3 linked regions of the Sus scrofa genome follow. The protein of the gene in region 2 interacts with the protein of the main gene of each other region in a pairwise test. Links are inferred from orthologs where the notes say so. Each region holds a gene or a part of one and is shown on either strand. Other genes may lie near its edges.

Evidence for each region. The genes of interacting proteins can lie anywhere in the genome.
Region 1: the proteins of MIPOL1 (region 2) and CCT3 interact in binary tests that used the Homo sapiens proteins (3 or more experiments, as listed by UniProt). The two-hybrid records come from large-scale screens. The link is inferred for Sus scrofa from reciprocal best matches to the Homo sapiens genes MIPOL1 and CCT3.
Region 3: the proteins of MIPOL1 (region 2) and TTC12 interact in binary tests that used the Homo sapiens proteins (3 or more experiments, as listed by UniProt). The two-hybrid records come from large-scale screens. The link is inferred for Sus scrofa from reciprocal best matches to the Homo sapiens genes MIPOL1 and TTC12.

What each region holds. Positions count from the first base shown.
Region 1 is NC_010446.5:93,749,196-93,754,655, reverse strand, and holds the end of CCT3 (T-complex protein 1 subunit gamma), read right to left. Parts: intron 5,398-5,460; coding exon 5,316-5,397; intron 3,996-5,315; coding exon 3,815-3,995; intron 2,896-3,814; coding exon 2,650-2,895; intron 2,381-2,649; coding exon 2,249-2,380; intron 1,649-2,248; coding exon 1,544-1,648; 3' UTR 1,316-1,543; downstream 1-1,315. UniProt on the Homo sapiens protein: Component of the chaperonin-containing T-complex (TRiC), a molecular chaperone complex that assists the folding of actin, tubulin and other proteins upon ATP hydrolysis.
Region 2 is NC_010449.5:62,554,247-62,560,332, forward strand, and holds part of MIPOL1 (mirror-image polydactyly gene 1 protein), read right to left. Parts: intron 3,648-6,086; coding exon 3,417-3,647; intron 1-3,416.
Region 3 is NC_010451.4:41,021,610-41,027,695, reverse strand, and holds part of TTC12 (tetratricopeptide repeat protein 12), read right to left. Parts: intron 4,972-6,086; coding exon 4,879-4,971; intron 3,599-4,878; coding exon 3,538-3,598; intron 2,752-3,537; coding exon 2,614-2,751; intron 2,150-2,613; coding exon 2,051-2,149; intron 1,569-2,050; coding exon 1,500-1,568; intron 1-1,499. UniProt on the Homo sapiens protein: Cytoplasmic protein that plays a role in the proper assembly of dynein arm complexes in motile cilia in both respiratory cells and sperm flagella.

The DNA of each region.
Region 1 (5,460 bases), on a different chromosome or scaffold from region 2:
GCTCACAGCAAAGCCACGTCCTTAACCCACTGAGCAAGGCCAAGGATCGAACCTGCATCCTCGTGGATCCTGGCCAGATTTGTTTCTGTTGAGCCACGATGGGAACTCCCAAGATCTTTTTATTTACTTGAGAATTAACCCATTATCATTTTTTAAGGTCTTAAAGCTCTGAGGGAATTAATACAAGCATAGATGGATTTCAGCAAAAGGTAGGTAGTAGGCTTATTTCAGAGACCCTCAAAGAGGAAAAGCTGAGACTTTGGACAAAGTTAAGCAGAAAGCTAAATACTAGTCATCAACAGAGCAGAAAGTCTCCCGAGACCCCTTTCCACAGCACACCTCCATTCAGTCAGCACAGCCAGCTGTAAATGCGTGGCTTCCAAAGACTGCCTACAGAGTAATTCCAGGTCTGCCATTTACCAACTTTGTGACCCTTGAACAATCTACTTTATGTTTTAGATTACCCAACACAAACTAGGGTTATTACCTATCTTATAGGGTCCTTGGGAAGGATTAGCTAACATATGCAAAGTGACCAGAATGTATCTTCCACATAACAGGCACTGTGTGCTATTATTCTAACTAGTATTCAAGATTTAACATTAAATCCTGCGGTCAGGTTAGGAGATACAGGCTGACTGCATGAGTCATAAGGACAAAGGGGACAATGGAAGGCCCAGTAGTCAGGAGGAAGGACTCTGAAGAAATCAAAGGCTAGCTCCACCTAGCCACCACGAGCACCTCAGGGTCAATATAAGATTTTTCTGTCTTGCTAAAAACAAAGCACAGACTGAGATTTAAATCTTTTGTTTCTGCTAGCAGGGAAAGTCAAAGTCCTACTGGACACAAGCATGCCGGGAAAATAAGCCAGAAAAGATTGGAATCAGGAAGAACACTGGGAAGGGGCAGAGATAAATTTTAGATAGGAAGGATTCTGAAAAGCTATAGGATATAATAAAAAAAAGAAAAAAAGATGTTCTAGGTTCTTCAGAATAAATGCCTAAACCCTAGCACATACTGGGTGTTGCTCTACACAATCACATACAATGAACACCCATGGTTTGGACAGGTTCCTCCTGTTCTTTGGGTGGTGAATGCAAAGTGGTGTTTCTTTAAGCTTTCCAATATCCTCCTTTGAAATCCAAGAGTCCTCCCAACCAGTCCCTACTAAGAAGTGTGAATACCCCCTCAAAAAGGGAAAGATACTTAATGACCTCATTCCCATCTCTCTCTCTCCAGTAAGGTTTTTTGCTTCCTCCCTCCTTGCCAGGAGGCAGAAATATGGCCCAAGGTTGAAAAACACATAACAACTGTCTCAAATGACTTAGATTTAATCATCGGAAGCAAACTAAATGGAAAGCTTACAATAGAGAAGAATTACATGTCAGTGCCTTTTGCAAACTGAGCTGGGACAGAAAGGGACTGGGCTGCCCCTTGAACTGATCCCTTCCAAACAAAGACGTCCACAGTGTCCCTGGCAGTCTGGCTCAGGGAAGGGGGAGACTCTGTTGGCTCTGTGCGTTGAGGTCGCCTTGCCCACTGCTCACTCCTGGCCAGCATCAGGAGCCCCACCTTGCCGGCTCTGGTCGTCACCCTTCTTTTTGTGGCCTGAGACGATGTCATCAATCCGCAGCAGCAGGACTGCCGTCTAGGAGAATAACCACAGCCCCAAAGAGGTCAGCAAAGGAAAGGACACTTGTTTTCATTTAGACACATCACCTAGCTCCTCCTACATAATTACCATTTTATCTGAAATCTACTCTTTCAGAATCCTGAATGTAAAATGCAGTTCTCCCAAAGCAAGGGAAGCAGCTTGTGCCATGTTACTTTGTTTTTTTTTTTGTCCTTTAAGGGCTGCACCCATGGCATATGGAGGTTCCCAAGCTAGGGATCAATTGGAGCTGTAGCCGCCAGCCTACACCACAGCCACAGCAACTCGGGATCCAAGCCGCGTCTGCGACCTACACCACAGCTCACGGCAATGCTGGATCCTTAACCCAGTGAGTGATGCCAGGGATTGAACCTGAGTCCTCATGGATGCTAGTCGGGTTCATTAACCACTGAACCACGATGGGAACTCCATCTTGATTTTTAAATGAGCTAAAGCTAATAAGTAGGGGGATGGAATTCCTTGAGAGATCTTTTGTGGAATACTCTGCCTTCTATCCCTCCCCTTTCAAGACTGGATCAAACACAGTTTTCTGGTAATCTGGAAATAAACAGCATAGCATGTCTTAGAGTGCCTCACCTCCACTGCAGTCTTGTACGTTTGTAGCTTTACAGCCAATGGTTCCCAGATGCCCAGTTCTTTCATGTCCACCAGAGTACCTGTCTCACCATTCACACCCCAGGTCTCACAATTCTCCTGGGTGTGCTTGGCCTATGGTTGGAACAAACATAGTTAAAGGGGAAAATACTAGGAACAAATAACCTGGTAGAGACCATTAGATAAAAATCAACTATACTGGATTATAAGGTACAGACAAGAGGAAATGGCAATGACATCAAGTCAAAAATTAAGAAAGAGAAGATGTTTTTAAGGGAACAAGCTACAAGGAAAACCAGAAAAGACAGACACAAATCATCCTCTTAGGTTAAAAATACAGCTTTCCCTACCCCATCAAGAGAAAAGCACGGAAAAGAACTCACCCGAAGGGAGGTAAGTAAACGGATGGTGCTGGCCCCACAGTTCTGGATAAGGGTACGAGGAATGACCTCCAGGGCCTGGGCAACAGCCCGATATGGCCATTGTTCCACACCAGTCATCGCCTTGGATTTTTCTGTCAAGGCATGAGCCACAGCCATCTCAGAAGCCCCACCCCCTGGCACGAGCTGAGGGTCCAGGAGAACATTGCGGCACACTTGCATGGCATCCTGGAGGTTGCGTTCTACTTCCTTGGGAAAGCAAACAGACACCATAACACCAAAGCCTGATGAGTCAGGGACAAGTCAGAGGCACCAGGGACTTCCTGACTGCCAAGTTTGATAAACCAAGGAGGGCAAACTAAGAAAGGTCTTTCAAACCTTTTGGGCAGGGCAGATGCTATTTACCCAGGCTTTGTTCACTGTGCTTGACAGAGCTATACCCCTGTTCTTATCCTGTCTAGTTGTGTACTCTAGGAGGCTGCAGTGTAGTGGCAACTCTGAAACTCTCTACTTACTAGCTATGTGCCTTGGCTAAGTTACTTAATAACCTCACTCAGTGGAAAGAAAAGTAGTATTTATAACTTCAACGTAAAAATAGGGAAGCAGTGTTCGGTATGGGATGGGGAAATAACTGAATCATTGTTCAATGGGTATAGTGCCTCGTTTTTTCAAGATAAAAAAGTTCTGAGAATCTGTTGCATGAAAATGTGAATGTACTTAACACCACTGAACCGTACACGTAAAAAAAGTGGTTAAGATGATATATTTTAAAATTTTTTTTGGCTTTTTGGCTCTATAGGGCCGCTCCTGAGGCCTATGAGGTTCCCAGGCTAGGGGTCCAGTTGGAGCTGTAGCTGCCGGCCTGAGCCACAGCCACAGCCACAGCAACGTGGGATCCGAGCTTCGTCTGCAACCTACACCGCAGCTCACGGCAATGCCAGAATCTTTACCCACTGAGCAAGGCCAGGGATTGAACCCACAACCTCATGGTTCCCAGTTGGATTCGTTAACCACTGAGCCACGACAGGAACTCTGGTAAACTTTATGTTTAAAAAACTTTTTTTTTAAACAGTAAAAAACAAATGGACAACAGGATGATTACCTCTGGGAAACTCTCAAGAAACAGAATGACCTAGTTCATTCAGTCACACTTCCAAGGCTGACTCACCGAGAGAATCTCTTTGCTGGCCCCCCGGAGGAGAATGGTACAGGCTTTGGGGTCTTTACACTCAGTAATGAATGTAAAGTACTCATCTCCAATTTTCTTGATTTCCAACAGGCCTGCTCCTGTCCCAATATCTTCTTCTCTTAGTTCCTCTGGTCGGCTGACTATCCGGGCCCCACAGGCTCTATTGATTAGATGGAGAGGAGGGGACAGGGAGAAGACCAGATGAGGGCAGATACTTCTACTCAGATTCTTGATCCCCAGGTTCTGTGGTGAAGATTAGGGCCAGGGCAAAAGTGGATTGCTCGTAACATTTCTGCCTAAGGTAACAAGTCTTGGCTTCCATACCAATAGATCTCCAAATGTATAGGTGGAGTTTCCTTAAACTAATATGGCTTTATAAATGAAAGTGTACATATCTAAAGCAACTACTACAATGAGATACAGTTTAATTCAAAACATATTTAGTGGACCTTGAAATTTGGACAGATGAGTTCTTATGCATATTTAATGTGTATAACAAGTAACGGTCATTTCTAGATAGAGTTTGTCCTATACTGCCTAGTTAGATCTCAAAACCAGTTAACAAGACTGTACTAAAGACAATGCAAAGACCAAGCAAGAACAGAGGTGAATAAGCTCATATGTCTGACCCAATTTTAATGATGTAGAGCTAATATTTTGTTACCCCTTCTCCCGAATCATGGGCATGTATAGTTTATTATGTGTATGCATCTATGCCCAGAGCCATTTCAGAGCAAGTTTAAGTATAAAATTTGATTTGGATCTATGGCATATTATGTGATGTCAGAAGAGACTTAAATCTTTAAAAACTAGAAATCCTAGAAATCCTAAAAATGGGTGATGTCTGAGCATAGGTGTCTGTGCAGAAGTAGTGACGCAATCTAAAGTTTCACTGACAGTAGCTAGCTGAGGATCCAATTAAGTTAACTGTCAGTTCTGCTATATTCTGAAATAGTTATAAACAGACTAATCTGAAATGGACCCCTATACCAAGGTATCATAGGTAACTAAGCATAAGCTATTCACTACTGGTTAGGAACAGTACAGGAGAGACTCACGTAGCAAATGTTAATATAAAGGACTTCTGAAGAGGGAAGATGGTTAAAGCCTGGTTATTTCCATTTGTGACTGATTTGTCTGTGTGTGTGTGTGTGCTTGCGCCTTTTCTAGGGCCCCTCCCACGGCATATGGAGGTTCCCAGGCTAGGGGTCCAATCAGAGCTGTAGCCGCTGGCCTATGCCAGAGCCACAGCCACGTGGGATCCAAGCCGAGCCTGCGACCTACACCACAGCTCACGGCAACGCTGAGCAGGGCCAGGGATTGAACCCGAAACCTCATGGTTCCTAGTCAGATTCGTCAACCACTGAGCCACCCTGCCTATCTTATATTGAACTTTTTCGGGTAATGATAACTACATTGTGAAGTTGTAAAATAAAAACACATGAGCAGAATAATCTTACTTTTACCTGATCATACTCACCTAGCAATGCGATTATTGTCTGTCTTCCGGACTCTGCGGATGGCTGTGATATTGGCCCTCATGAGGTAGTGCTGAGCTAAATCTGCAAGAGTAGAGGTGTCAAGCTGGAAGCCAGAAACCCTGGGTTCTGAAGTGATTTTATCCT
Region 2 (6,086 bases):
AGAAGAAATAGCACAAGCAGAGATACTGTGGTAGGGGTCATGGGAGGGAAATGATACCAGAACAGTAGGAGAAGGCCAGTGATAGGCCTCCTATATCACGCTAAGTTGTTTAACTTGCAGGTGACAAAGAGCCCCTGAAAGATGTTAAACAGGGAAGTAATATAACTGAATTTATGTTTCAGAAAATTAAGTCTGGTGGTCATGAGGAAGGTAAACTTGAGAGAGCTAGAGGCAGATAAACTAGTTTTATGATTATTTCAATAGTCATGAGGAATGACGAGGGCCTGAACTAATACAATTCACTAGGGAAGAGGGCGAGGAAATCAGGAGATACTCAGGCAACAGATAATAGAGACTGATGGTAAAGTGAATATGAATCATAAGAAAGAGTGAGGGAACAAGGGCAGTGCTAAAACTGCTGAACTCTTCATGGAGACAGGAGAGACAGGAAAATGGGAGGGCTTTATTTTCAGGATAGAAATTTTTAACCAAAACAAACAAACAAACAAACAAACAAAAACCTATGACAACACACAGAAAAGAGTGATTTAACAAACCAAAAAGTTGAAGAAAATTTTGTAGAGAAAAGGCAATTGAACTAATCCTGCTAATTTGATGAATATGATGATACTACTGATAAAATTTATACAATGCTTATAATAAAGTAACTGGTACTAAATTAGGCATTTTTACATGACATCCAGTTTATTCCCACATCAACTTTCCCTGTGAAGCCCTGGGCAATGGTCTAAATATTTTAACTGAAAAACTTTTGCTTCTAGGGGATAAGAAATTTGTCCTAAATCTCAGAGATAACAAGAAAGCAGAGATTCAAACATAGGTCTGGCTGATTGACGACGAAGCTTGCCTCTATCTTCTATGCTGCAGTGCATCTCATAGGATGAATATGTTTATCATGAGGGGAAAGGGCAAAAGGCTCCAAGCAGAGAGATTAATGTATATAAAGGCATTTAGCCTCGAAGGTAGTGAGTGCCCTTCTGAGGAATGAGATAGTGCATATGAGAGAAGTAATAAGAGAAGGAGGGCCTATGCAACACACACTACTCTCAAAGCATCACATGTACAATCTCATCTAATTCTTACAACATTAGGAGATAGGAGTATTACTGTCCACATACTATTGTCCACATCAGCACAGTGTTTTAAAATGTCTAAGTTCACACACTTATGCATTGTGAATCCAGAGACTGAGCTTTTAAATTACCATGGTATACTGCTGAAGATACACAAGCATCTTATTTTACCATGATCATATATAGTTTTATAATAGAGTATAATTAGAAGTGGAGTGTTGAATTTAATACTTAGGCAATTACTGGTAATCTTTATTTTATTTTATTTTTTGTCTTTTTGCCTTTTCTAGGGCCGCTCTCACGGCATATGGAGATTCCCAGGCTAGGGGTCCAATCGGAGCTGTAGCCACCGGCCTATGCCAGAGCCACAGCAACAAGGGATCCAAGCCGCGTCTGCAATCTACACCACAGCTCACAGCAATGCCGAACTCTTAACCCACTGAGCAAGGGCAGGGATTGAACCTGCAACCCCATGGTCCCTAGTTGGATTCGTTAACCACTGCGCCACAATGGGAACTCCCAATTACTGGTAATCTTTCATCTAGGTCTGACTGCCAGAAATCAGAATAAAAGATTTAACATTTAAATTAAAACTTAACATTTAATTCTAAGAAAAGACATTAATTGTTGCACTTAAACTCTGTCCATGGATTGTCCATGCCATTTCCATGAAAAAAGTCTTGATTTGTCTGTTGTTAAATGTGAAAAATAAGAACAGTATAGTGAGTTTTTCAAAAGGTTAAACTTATTTAAAGTATTATCTGAGAAAATGTTATTTTTATTTCTTGGGGTGTAAAGTTATATCTTTCACAAAATAAAACTGATAGCTGATGAGACAAAAAAAAGTTGACAACATTTATAAATATTTTTTTTTAGAAATCTAATTGCTCTCTGGGAAACACTGTTTTAGGGAGTTTTAGTTATGTAGAGAAATTAAAGGATTACATATAAAAAAAGTTGAAATTTTTAAGTATTTGTAGTCTTAAAGCAAATAGAGCTAAATCAGATCTTAACTGTCAAAAGTTACTGATCTATAGTTTACAATGAAATGAGCTCTACCTATATATATATATCTTGGTGTTCGTAGAATGTTAATATACATTGTGAATAACTTGATATAGTTTCTGACTGAATATAAATTTAATGTTTACTTTTTTTAATTTTAGAATTTTTATTATTATTTTTTGGGGGGCTGTGCCTGCAGCACATGGAAATTCCTGGGCCAGGGATCAAACCCATGCCGTAGCAGCAACCCAGGCCATTGCAGTGACAATACTGGATCTTTAAACTGCTATAAGAGAACTCCTTTTATAAAAACCTATAAAAAACATAATACCATAAATCATAAGTTTCAAGGTACATACATTGATAATAAAGATTAATATGCATAATTCCTAATCTGGTTTAAAACAGTCTCAATTATATATTTACCTGATCTTGGGCTATTAATCAAAATATAATTTCAAGGATCCTGCGGGAATGCTTGAGATGACTTATTTTCAATAAAAAGTAGTGAGAAGTAAGAACTTCTTCATACTATAAAACTGAAAAAAACTTAAGGAAAAAAGTATGTCTTAGAAATTGAATGTGATTATGTGTGTGAATGACAAAATGCTGTTAATAAGTAAAGAAGCACTCAATTAAAATTACAAGTTCTTTTATATTAAAGCTGCCTTAGAAAATTTTGCTAGAGTATTCGAGTCCCATAAATTAACAAATGACTTCTTTGATAAGTTATGTTAATGTTTTGCTGGCTATCATTAAAGACTTATGATTATGCAGCTTTACTGAAGCTTTAATAAAGACACAAAGATTACTGAAAATAAACAACTATAATCACATACTTTGAAAAGCTGTATTGAATTCTTCAGAAGAGGAACATAAGAAAATTAATTTCACTGTCCTGGATTCTATGAGCTAGAGGTCTCAGACTGAAAGGTCATAGATGATCTCAACCCAAGCAGGATTATTGTGAAGCTAAATGAGGAAAGCTGGCAACTTGACTGCCTCTTCCCATTGCTAATAACTACCTATTTCTCATGAAACAATTTTAATCATATGGCCTGAATGAACTCATGAAGATCACTTATTAAATAAAGATGTTTATCCTAAATAGTACCTGTGATTCCCAAGTAAATGACTTTTGACCCCAAATATGGATATGACAGGCACTCTAAAAAAGTTCATCTGGCTCAATCTACTTTTGTCTTCAACTATTAACAGTATGCATAATAAATAATATATGATTTAGTTGCTAAAAGATAGCACTTTTGTTCTTTTTTGTTTCATGCTTTTGAAATTATGCAAGGTCATTTCACTTACTTCTGAACTTTGTCATTGGCTGCTCGGGAGGCCTCCACGGTGTGCTGAAGCTCTAATTCCATGTTTGCTCGATCTGTCAGAGCTTGCTGCAGTTGGATAGATAGTTCGTCATTTTGTTGTTGAGTGATGGAAACAATGTTCTCTCTGTTTTTCAAAGCTTCTTCATAGGTACTAAGGGTATGGTTAAACTGATCCTTCAGACTTTCTTCTTGGGATAAGGATTTGTGTAAACTGAGAAAATATAAAAATAAATAATGTAAACATAAATAGGGAGGCTGACTGACCAATAACTATTTGACAAAAATCTCCAGTTAGAAACATCCACTTCTAAAAATCAATAAAGACATACTTAAATGGGCAAATGAAAATAATTTTTGTATGACAATATTACGCTTGATAATTATCCATTTCTCTGCTTTTAGGCTGAAAGCTACCCAGACAAATGATTAGCTTTGCTATCAAAGCCTACACAAAGTTGCTGCAAGATGTTAATTATATCAGTGTAAATATTACATTCAATTTTCTTTAAAAGTAATAGCAAAGAATTACAAAATAAAGTATCTCTAGGTAAATAAAAGAATATAATAAGCTGACTGCAAAGAAGTGAGAAGTAAGAGAACAGGCATCAGTTTAGTAGATCCAGGGTCTATTTGGCTGAACACTTAATGAGAATGAATGAGGTTTGTACAAATACTGATCAGCCTTATACAGGGCATTTTCTACTTGTCACAGTTGAGATATAAATGAAGTTAAAATCACTACTCAGGCGGCACAGAAATAATATGTATTCAGATATATTTTCTTTTTGTTAATGAATCTTATGCCAAATACATGTGCTCATTAAGTCACACAGAGAAACAGCATATAAATTAAGACTAAATGAATGCAGAAGAAAATGCAGACAAATAGAATCCTAAAATGCTAAAGGTCAAATCTTTGATATGTCATTACACCTACCACCTGAGGTTATTTTGAAATGGCACCAAGCACCTCACTCAATTAAATAAAGACATTTTGAAAATATAAATATTTAATAAGGGAAATTTAAAATCCACACAGGAGATGTTCTTTTTTTATTAAATAAAATCATTTCAGTATATGCATACAAAAGAAATGTCGACGGGAGACTTTAAGTAAAACTACCTAACTATATAATACAGATTGATAATATTGAGAGAAAGTAATATAATTCTTAAAGCTTCAAAGAGCTAGTCAGGAACTTTAACTCTGGCTGAATATCTAGTCATTTAATATCTACTTCATTTAAAACTGTTCAAACTAAAGTAATTTTAAATTTCTCCTTTTTGCTTAAGTAACCCGTAAGCCTCTCCAGTGTGCTCAGTTTGGAGATGTCACATGGAAATAAGAAGGACCTGAGACAGGGACAGTTAGCATACCAAAGGAAATCATTTAAGAATTAAAATTAGTCCCTAAGAAGAGAGAATGCTGCTAAACTGTGGTGAAGTGATTGCTATATATGAAAGAATAGTGTACAATGCCAGATTTGCAGAAAGCAAAAAAAAAAAAAAACCTTTCTTTAAGGTTATGCATCTAACCCATATTTGATTCTTGGTTCTAACAATCCATATGCCTAAAGGCTCCTGTCTCTTGTGCATTTGCCCATTATTTTCTCTGTCTTCTCATATTTTCTACATTCTTCCAACTTTAATTTCTTTCAGTCTGCTCTTTGCCTACTTCAAAGATGTAAGAAAGAAAGAAACAAAACAAACAGAACAAAAAAACCTTTAAAAAGTGTATGTTCTTTATTATCCTTAAATGTCAAATACATTTTAAATTACAAAAATTGCACAAATCTCAAGTATTTAGCTTGACAAAATGTAAAGAACAAAATACAGAACACTGAAGACTCCACTCCTCGCAGTTGATCCACTCTCCAAAAATAATCAGTAATCCAACACCTATCAAGATTAATATTGCATGTTTTTGAACTTTTTGTCTGACTTATTTTGCTTAATATAGTTTATGAAATTTATCCTGTTGCGCATTATTCATTTTTTAAAAATTCTATGATGTATTCTGTTACATAAACACACAGCAACTTAATTAACCTTTCCACTGTTGGTGCTATGAATAATTCTTGAATGCGTTTTTTTTTTTTAAGTTTTATTTATTTATTTATTTATTTATTTTTTGTCTTTTTGCCATTTCTTTTTGCCATTTCATTTCATATCCCGCGGCATATGGAGGTTCCCAGGCTAGGGGTCGAATCGGAGCTGTAGCCTCCGGCCTACGCCAGAGCCACAGCAACGCGGGATCCGAGCCGCGTCTGCAACCTACACCACAGCTCACGGCAACGCCGGATCGTTAACCCACTGAGCAAGGGCAGGGACCGAACCCGCAACCTCATGGTTTCTAGTCGGATTCGTTAACCACTGCGCCACGACGGGAACTCCTTGAATGTGTTTTTTGATGGACCCAAGAACTTCTTTTTTTGTTTGTTCCCCCCCCCCAGTTTTATTGAAATATAACTGACATAAGCACTCATTTCTGGAGCATTAGTTCTCCACAGGGTGCATGTATGTTCAGATTTAGTAGATGCTGCAAAGGTTCCCAGAGTGGTCATACCAATTACTACTCCTATCAGCAATGGTGTTCCAGGTCCTCTACATACACCCTCAGACTGGGACTGCCAGTCCTTTTAACTTTAGT
Region 3 (6,086 bases), on a different chromosome or scaffold from region 2:
AGGAAAAAAAAAAAACACTCATATTTTATGCCTGAGGAAGAGATGCCTGGCTGCCAAATGCTGCCCCATCTCTTACTTCCGTAGCTGGCGTTCTGGAGCCCCGATCTCCTCCACAGAGCTGCACGGCAGACCTGCTCCTCCGGGCCGTGCTCCCCTCCCTCTGTCCTCTACGTGAGGGTTTCTCCAGCCCTGCCCCATGCATTCCCACTCGTGCAGCTGTTCTCCATCTTCCAGAAACTAGCTAAAATAACTTACCCATTGGTGACCTCTTGCCTGTTCACTTTGTCAGTGGGGGTGTCTGCCTTTTTCCCCCAAATGCCTTCAGTCTCATTTAAAACAAAAAACAACAACAACAAAAAAACCCGACTGAAGTATGGTTGATTTACAATATCATGTTAGTTTCAGGTGTACAGCACAGTGATTCAGATACATATTCATATATTTAGAGTCTCTCTCTATATATGAATATATATTTGAATATATATAGACTCTCTCTCTCTCTCTCTCTCTATATATATATATATATATTGTTTTCCAGATTTTTTCCCCTTATAGGTTGTTACAAAATATTGAAGTTTCCAGAGCAAGAAGGGACAAACTTGCGTATTATCATATTTTCCATCTTGTCTCCCTGATCTGCGTCCTGAGGTGTAGACTGTGGCTGTAGCTGACAGTACACATCTCTTCCCAGGCTCAAGCCAGTGGAGTGAGCCCCGTATCAGAGGACCAGGTTCTCTGCTGGGGCTGCTCCCAGCTGTGGCCACATAGAGTCCTGGATACAATGGCCCAGAGTCCTTGAAGGGTTAGCAGGGAACTCACGCAGGCCTAGCTTTAGGTGCAGTGCCCAGAAAGGCCCAAGTGCCCAAGAACCATGGTGCGTTTACCACTCTGGGGGTCATGCAACTTTTTCGAGGCTCCGATGAGAGCTGTGATCCACCCCCACCCTCCACCACACATACACTCAGAACTTTCTATACAATTGCAGGGGGTCCAGGGAACCTGAAGACCTACCACATATTCCGGAAGCCCAGGTTAAAGACCTCTGCCCTCTAAGTCCGAACTGACTTCAGGGACAGTGCAGTTGTGGGATGCTGGCCACAAACAAGAATGCTAAGTCTGCCTGGAACCTTTTCACAACCCTGGAACCAGCCCCCAGGCTGCGATCCTTAAAGGGTTGGTTTCCCAGACCCGCCTTGGATGTGACCCCAATTGTTTCTCTAGGTTTAGGGCCCTGACCCTTTAAGGCAGAGGAGTTGGGGTGAATCCTAACTCGAGGGAAGAATACATCCCAGGAGGGTGGCGAACAGCCTCCTGAGTCACATCAGCATTCTCCTTCTGGGGCACAGTGCTAAGCACAGGCCTTTCTTAGTTTTCTTAGCCAAATGTCAGAAACAGAAGCAAGAAAGCCAGTCCAGATATCTTTCTGCGGGGACTAAAACCAAACCAAACCAGAGAACAGCAAAGGCAGCAGTTTCTGGATTTCCCAGGGAGGAGCTTACTGTGAGGATTCCTCCATCCGGGCTGTTCAGCAGGGACAGGCACTTCCGACTCACCTCCATGGCCCACACCTACAGGACAGGAAGAGGGAGAGGAGTCTGCCTGCCCTGGTCATGGTCAGGGTCATTGGTCATCTGCACCTCCCCTCTGAGTGCTCACGTGCAACCGACCCCTCCCGCTCTGTCCTCACCACCGCCTGGCCACATCTGTCTGTATTTCCTTCATAGCATCTTCTATTGCTCTCATTTCTTTCCCACGTCCATCTTCCCCAAGTGCAGGGCGAGGCCTTGAGAGCGGGGACCACGTCATATTTGACCTTGCAAATGCTGAGCCAGCACTGTGCTCAGCACCCTGGCTGCTCAGCTGGTTTTCAGAATGAGTACCTGATGGGGCAGCTCAGGCATCCCTCAGCAGAGCAGGGACAGAGTGTGTGCCCAGCTCTCCCCACTTTCACTGCCGGCATCTGAGTCCATGAGCTCCTGTTCTCTTTGTGGCAGTGAGGTCAGGTCTATGCACCAGAAGGAGTTAAGGCAGGGAGGAAAGAATGCTGTACCTCAGAAACCAAGGAGGGCTGAAGACACAAGTTCATCATGAGTCCCAGGAGGGTATACATGACTTCTCTGAACAGGTCCATGTCCTCTTCGCACTTGGCCTTTAGAAACAAAACAGGGTGATCAATGACCTTCCTGCAGGTTTCCATGGTTTCAGCATCACGCACACTCCCTAAATTGACAATGTCTTGAATCTAAGTGACACTGGAAGATCAGACACTGGTTTATGAGTTAGCATCAGGCCAGGAGACTGGCACAGAGTGTCCAGTGCCTCTGACATGCAATGTGGCTTGGCTGGGTCCTGGGATCACACTGCAGAGGGAGCTGCTGACATGGGTGCTCAAGCCAGCTCCACAGAAAACCTGTCCAACCTCTCCGGAGTGGAGGAGACCTGTTCTGGAGGAATCCTTCAGGCCAGCTGCCCACCAAACCTACAGTCACAGCGGGATAAGCCACTGGCCCCAGTCCCCTCAAGCAGAAGTTTTGGAAAGGCCAGATAATTAAGAAGAAGGCAACTCCCCCAAAGCAGGTAAAAGACCAGCTCTGAACAGGAAAGCTAAAATACCATGAGCCCCAAGCAGGCATCCCCGAATTCCTCAGAGGCAAACAGCTGTCTTCGGGCAGCAGGCTCGGCGCTGAGGTTGCCCAGGATGGCAATGCACTGGCAGAGGGCTGACGTGCTGGTGACCCTGGGATCTCTCTTCTAAAAGGGAATGAAGAGAAAGCGAATCTGTGGAGAGCAGACAAATGATGCCAGAATAATCTCTAGAGGCATCCATCCCTCCCTCCCCAAGGTGTCTGGGGACCAGACAGCGTGAGGTCACGCGGGGGCATCGATGGGGTCACACTGGCCATGGGAAGGTGGCACACAGAGGGGCAGACCCCGAAGCACTTGGCGTGGAACCGGGAGGCCCAGGGCTTAATCCCAGTGACTCTGCCAACCAGCAGGGGCCACTGGGGCAAGTCCTGTCCCCTCTCAGAGCTTCCCTTTCCCCAGCTGCAAAATATTGGGGGTGTTGATATGCTCTCCAAGGTCCCTGAAATTTCTGGGGCTCGCCAGGGACAGCATGCAGTCACAGCGTGCTCTCCTGGAGGACCCGTCCCCTGCTGAGTTTCTCCCTCATCAGCTGTGAGCACCACCCCTGCCCGCTGACCGCGATGACTTCTGTTCAGGGGACGGGGTGGCATGTCACACCGAGGATGGGACTTGGGTCAGAGGGGACGATGGAGACAGACTAACTCTCCACCCTTGCCCCCTGGAGCCCCAGTGTCGCGGTCCTCCCATGTCCCCAGCCCGGTCCACATGCTGCCTCCACCCGTCCCCACTGCAGCTGTTTCAATAACCAAGCCTTGTGTAAATTCCAGCTGTGGATAGATGACAAAGCAACCCAGGAGGCCACAGGAGTTCTGGAGGGTAAACTGTGTTTAAACAGCCTTGTTCGTGCTCCCGAGTGGGTCCGTCACAGGTGATAAATGAGGGCCTGCTCACCAGCACGGCTGCCAGCGCAGGGAGCGCACCTGGAAGGCTGGCTTGGAACCAAACGTGGAACCTGTCACGAGAACATTAGTTGTGATGTATTTCTCCAGCATTCAAACTTTAACATAAATACAGCGTCTCGGGTACTGGGGCAGCCTGGCAACCCCCCGGCCCTCTTGATCTGCCCCTGCGTAGATGATTCATTTGGAACCAAAAAATGTCGCTGGGTAGGTGATGTGGCTTTAATTTTTCTAAGCCTGAGGACTTGCCTTCAATGTTAAACAAGAGATCTCAGAGGGCAGCTCTCTTAGAAGCTGCCAGAATCCCTAGGTTTCTGCTGAACTGACCTACCACCACTCCTGCCCCCGACCTGCTGAGTCTATATGTGCTGTGCAAACAGGAGGCATGGTGTGAGTGTGTTTACGTGTCACAGCCGCGAAGAGGGCCCCGAGGTACACACACACCTCCTCCCACTAGAGTGGCTAGTGTACGTTCCCGGCCCATGCTGATGCTGGCTACCAGTATAAGCAGCTCTCACTTATCGTGTGACGGTTTCTAAGTAAGACACCTAAGATTGGTGAGAAAATTAAAAACAAACAAACAAACAAACAAAAAAAAACCCGAGGAGTTCCCGTTGTGGCTCAGTGGGTTAAGAACCAGACCAGTATCCACAAAGACGCAGGTTCGATCCCTGGCCTCACTCAGTGGGTTAAGGATCCCGCATTGCTGCAAGCTGCAGTGTAGGTTGCAGAGGCAGCTCAGATGTGGCATTGCTGTGGCTGTGGTGTAGGTTGGCAGCTGCAGCTCTGTTTCAACCCCTAGCCTGGGAACTTCCGTATGTCACAAAAAGAAAGAAAAAAAAATTTTTTTAAAAACCTAAGAGTTACGAAAATCTACGACCTTTACTGTCTTCCCCAGCAGCAGCTAAGCAAAGAAGAAAAAGTTGGGGGGAAAGTAACTCATAAGGCCACTGACAGCCCAGGGGGCTCTACCTGGTTACTGTGTGTCCCCCCCCTTTCCCTCGCTCCCTTTCTCACTTATTCAACACGTGTCTGCCAGGCGGTTCCTACCAGTCACTGATGAGGGGAAAAGCTTCACTGACACGTAGTAGGTTTGCTACTGGGAGGGGTGCTATTCTAAGTACATTACTGCTTCCAAGCGCACTGGGGGCCAGGTCCCCTGCACCCAGAGGGACTGGAACGGGAGCGGCTGACCACAGCCCCTGCACATCAGCCCTCCTGCCCAGTGACCTGGTGATGCTCGGCTGGCTGAGCCTCCTGTGCGCTGCACAATTTAGAACAGACAGTTTGACAAAAGTGGACGAAGTATCAATTTCCCGCAATAAAAACTAACCTCTCTTCCAGAGCCAAGTCTGTGAGTAGTGCCATGGCTGAGTTGGCCTTCTTCTCTGAGAAATCAAGAAATGACACCAGGGCTTCCAACAACCTGCAAAATTCACGACCCCCTCAGAGTGGCCAGGCCTCCTGTCGACGGCACCCAACAGGGAGGCCTGGCACGGAGACCAGGAAGGACTCTGCCCCTGGGGGAAATAAGCTGCCCCCTGGCAGCCCAGCCCCTTGCCCACCCCCATGAGACAGACACCCTCCCATGGAAATGGCTCTACCACTTAACAGGAGGTCCTGGAGGCGGGGGGGCGGTGAACAATTTTAACCAAAGTTCAGATGCTGATTGATTATCAGGTGCTGACTTGGAAGGAATCTCTGGTGCCTCTGCCGTGTGACTCTGGCTCGGTCAAGTTGAATCACATAAATGACATCTAATTGGCATGCTTACTAATCTGCTGATGACTAAGTGGGAGGGCACCCTAATGAAGTGGGGTGACGGAATCAAGATTTAACAAGATTTTGACAGGTTGCTGAATATATCAGATGAAATTTAAGAGCATTAAACTCAAAGTCCTTTTACTTAGAGCTGGAAATTCTACCCAAGCAAGAGAACTGGGAGACCTGGTTTATAACTGACTCAAGTGAAAAAGACTTAAGGGTTTTCAGCCAACTGCAAACCCAGTATGAGCAAACAGTCAGGTGCAGCTGTCCCCAAAAGGTCACACAATCTCAGGCTGCCTGAAGGGACTGGCTGGTACCAGGACAATGGGGGTAGGAGCCATTGGTGCATCTGGCAAACCCACATCAAGCACCTGCAGCAGGCTGAGTGCTGTGCTCAGTACTAGGACACAGCACTGAGCTCCCGGTCTCCCACAGTGACATGTGTCAGGTGACATGTCAGAAACAGACACATGTCCAGGGGCCCGGAGTCCACCTGGCAGGAGGTGGGGAGGACGGAGATGAGGATGGTATTTCCGCATCACTTGAAAGGGGAGCGATGGCCACTTGGTCTTTGCCCATTCGATCAACAACCCTTCCTGAGCACTGATTATGTACCAGGTGATGTGTTAGGTTCTGCAGCCACAGGGATGAAACAAGACAAGGTCCCAGCTCCAAGGAGCTTGTGGGCCAGTGTCAGGCACGTGGGGACAGGAGTAGCACATCTGAGGCAGCAGAGCACAGAGCAGTCACCGAGACCATGAGGTGTAAAATCGC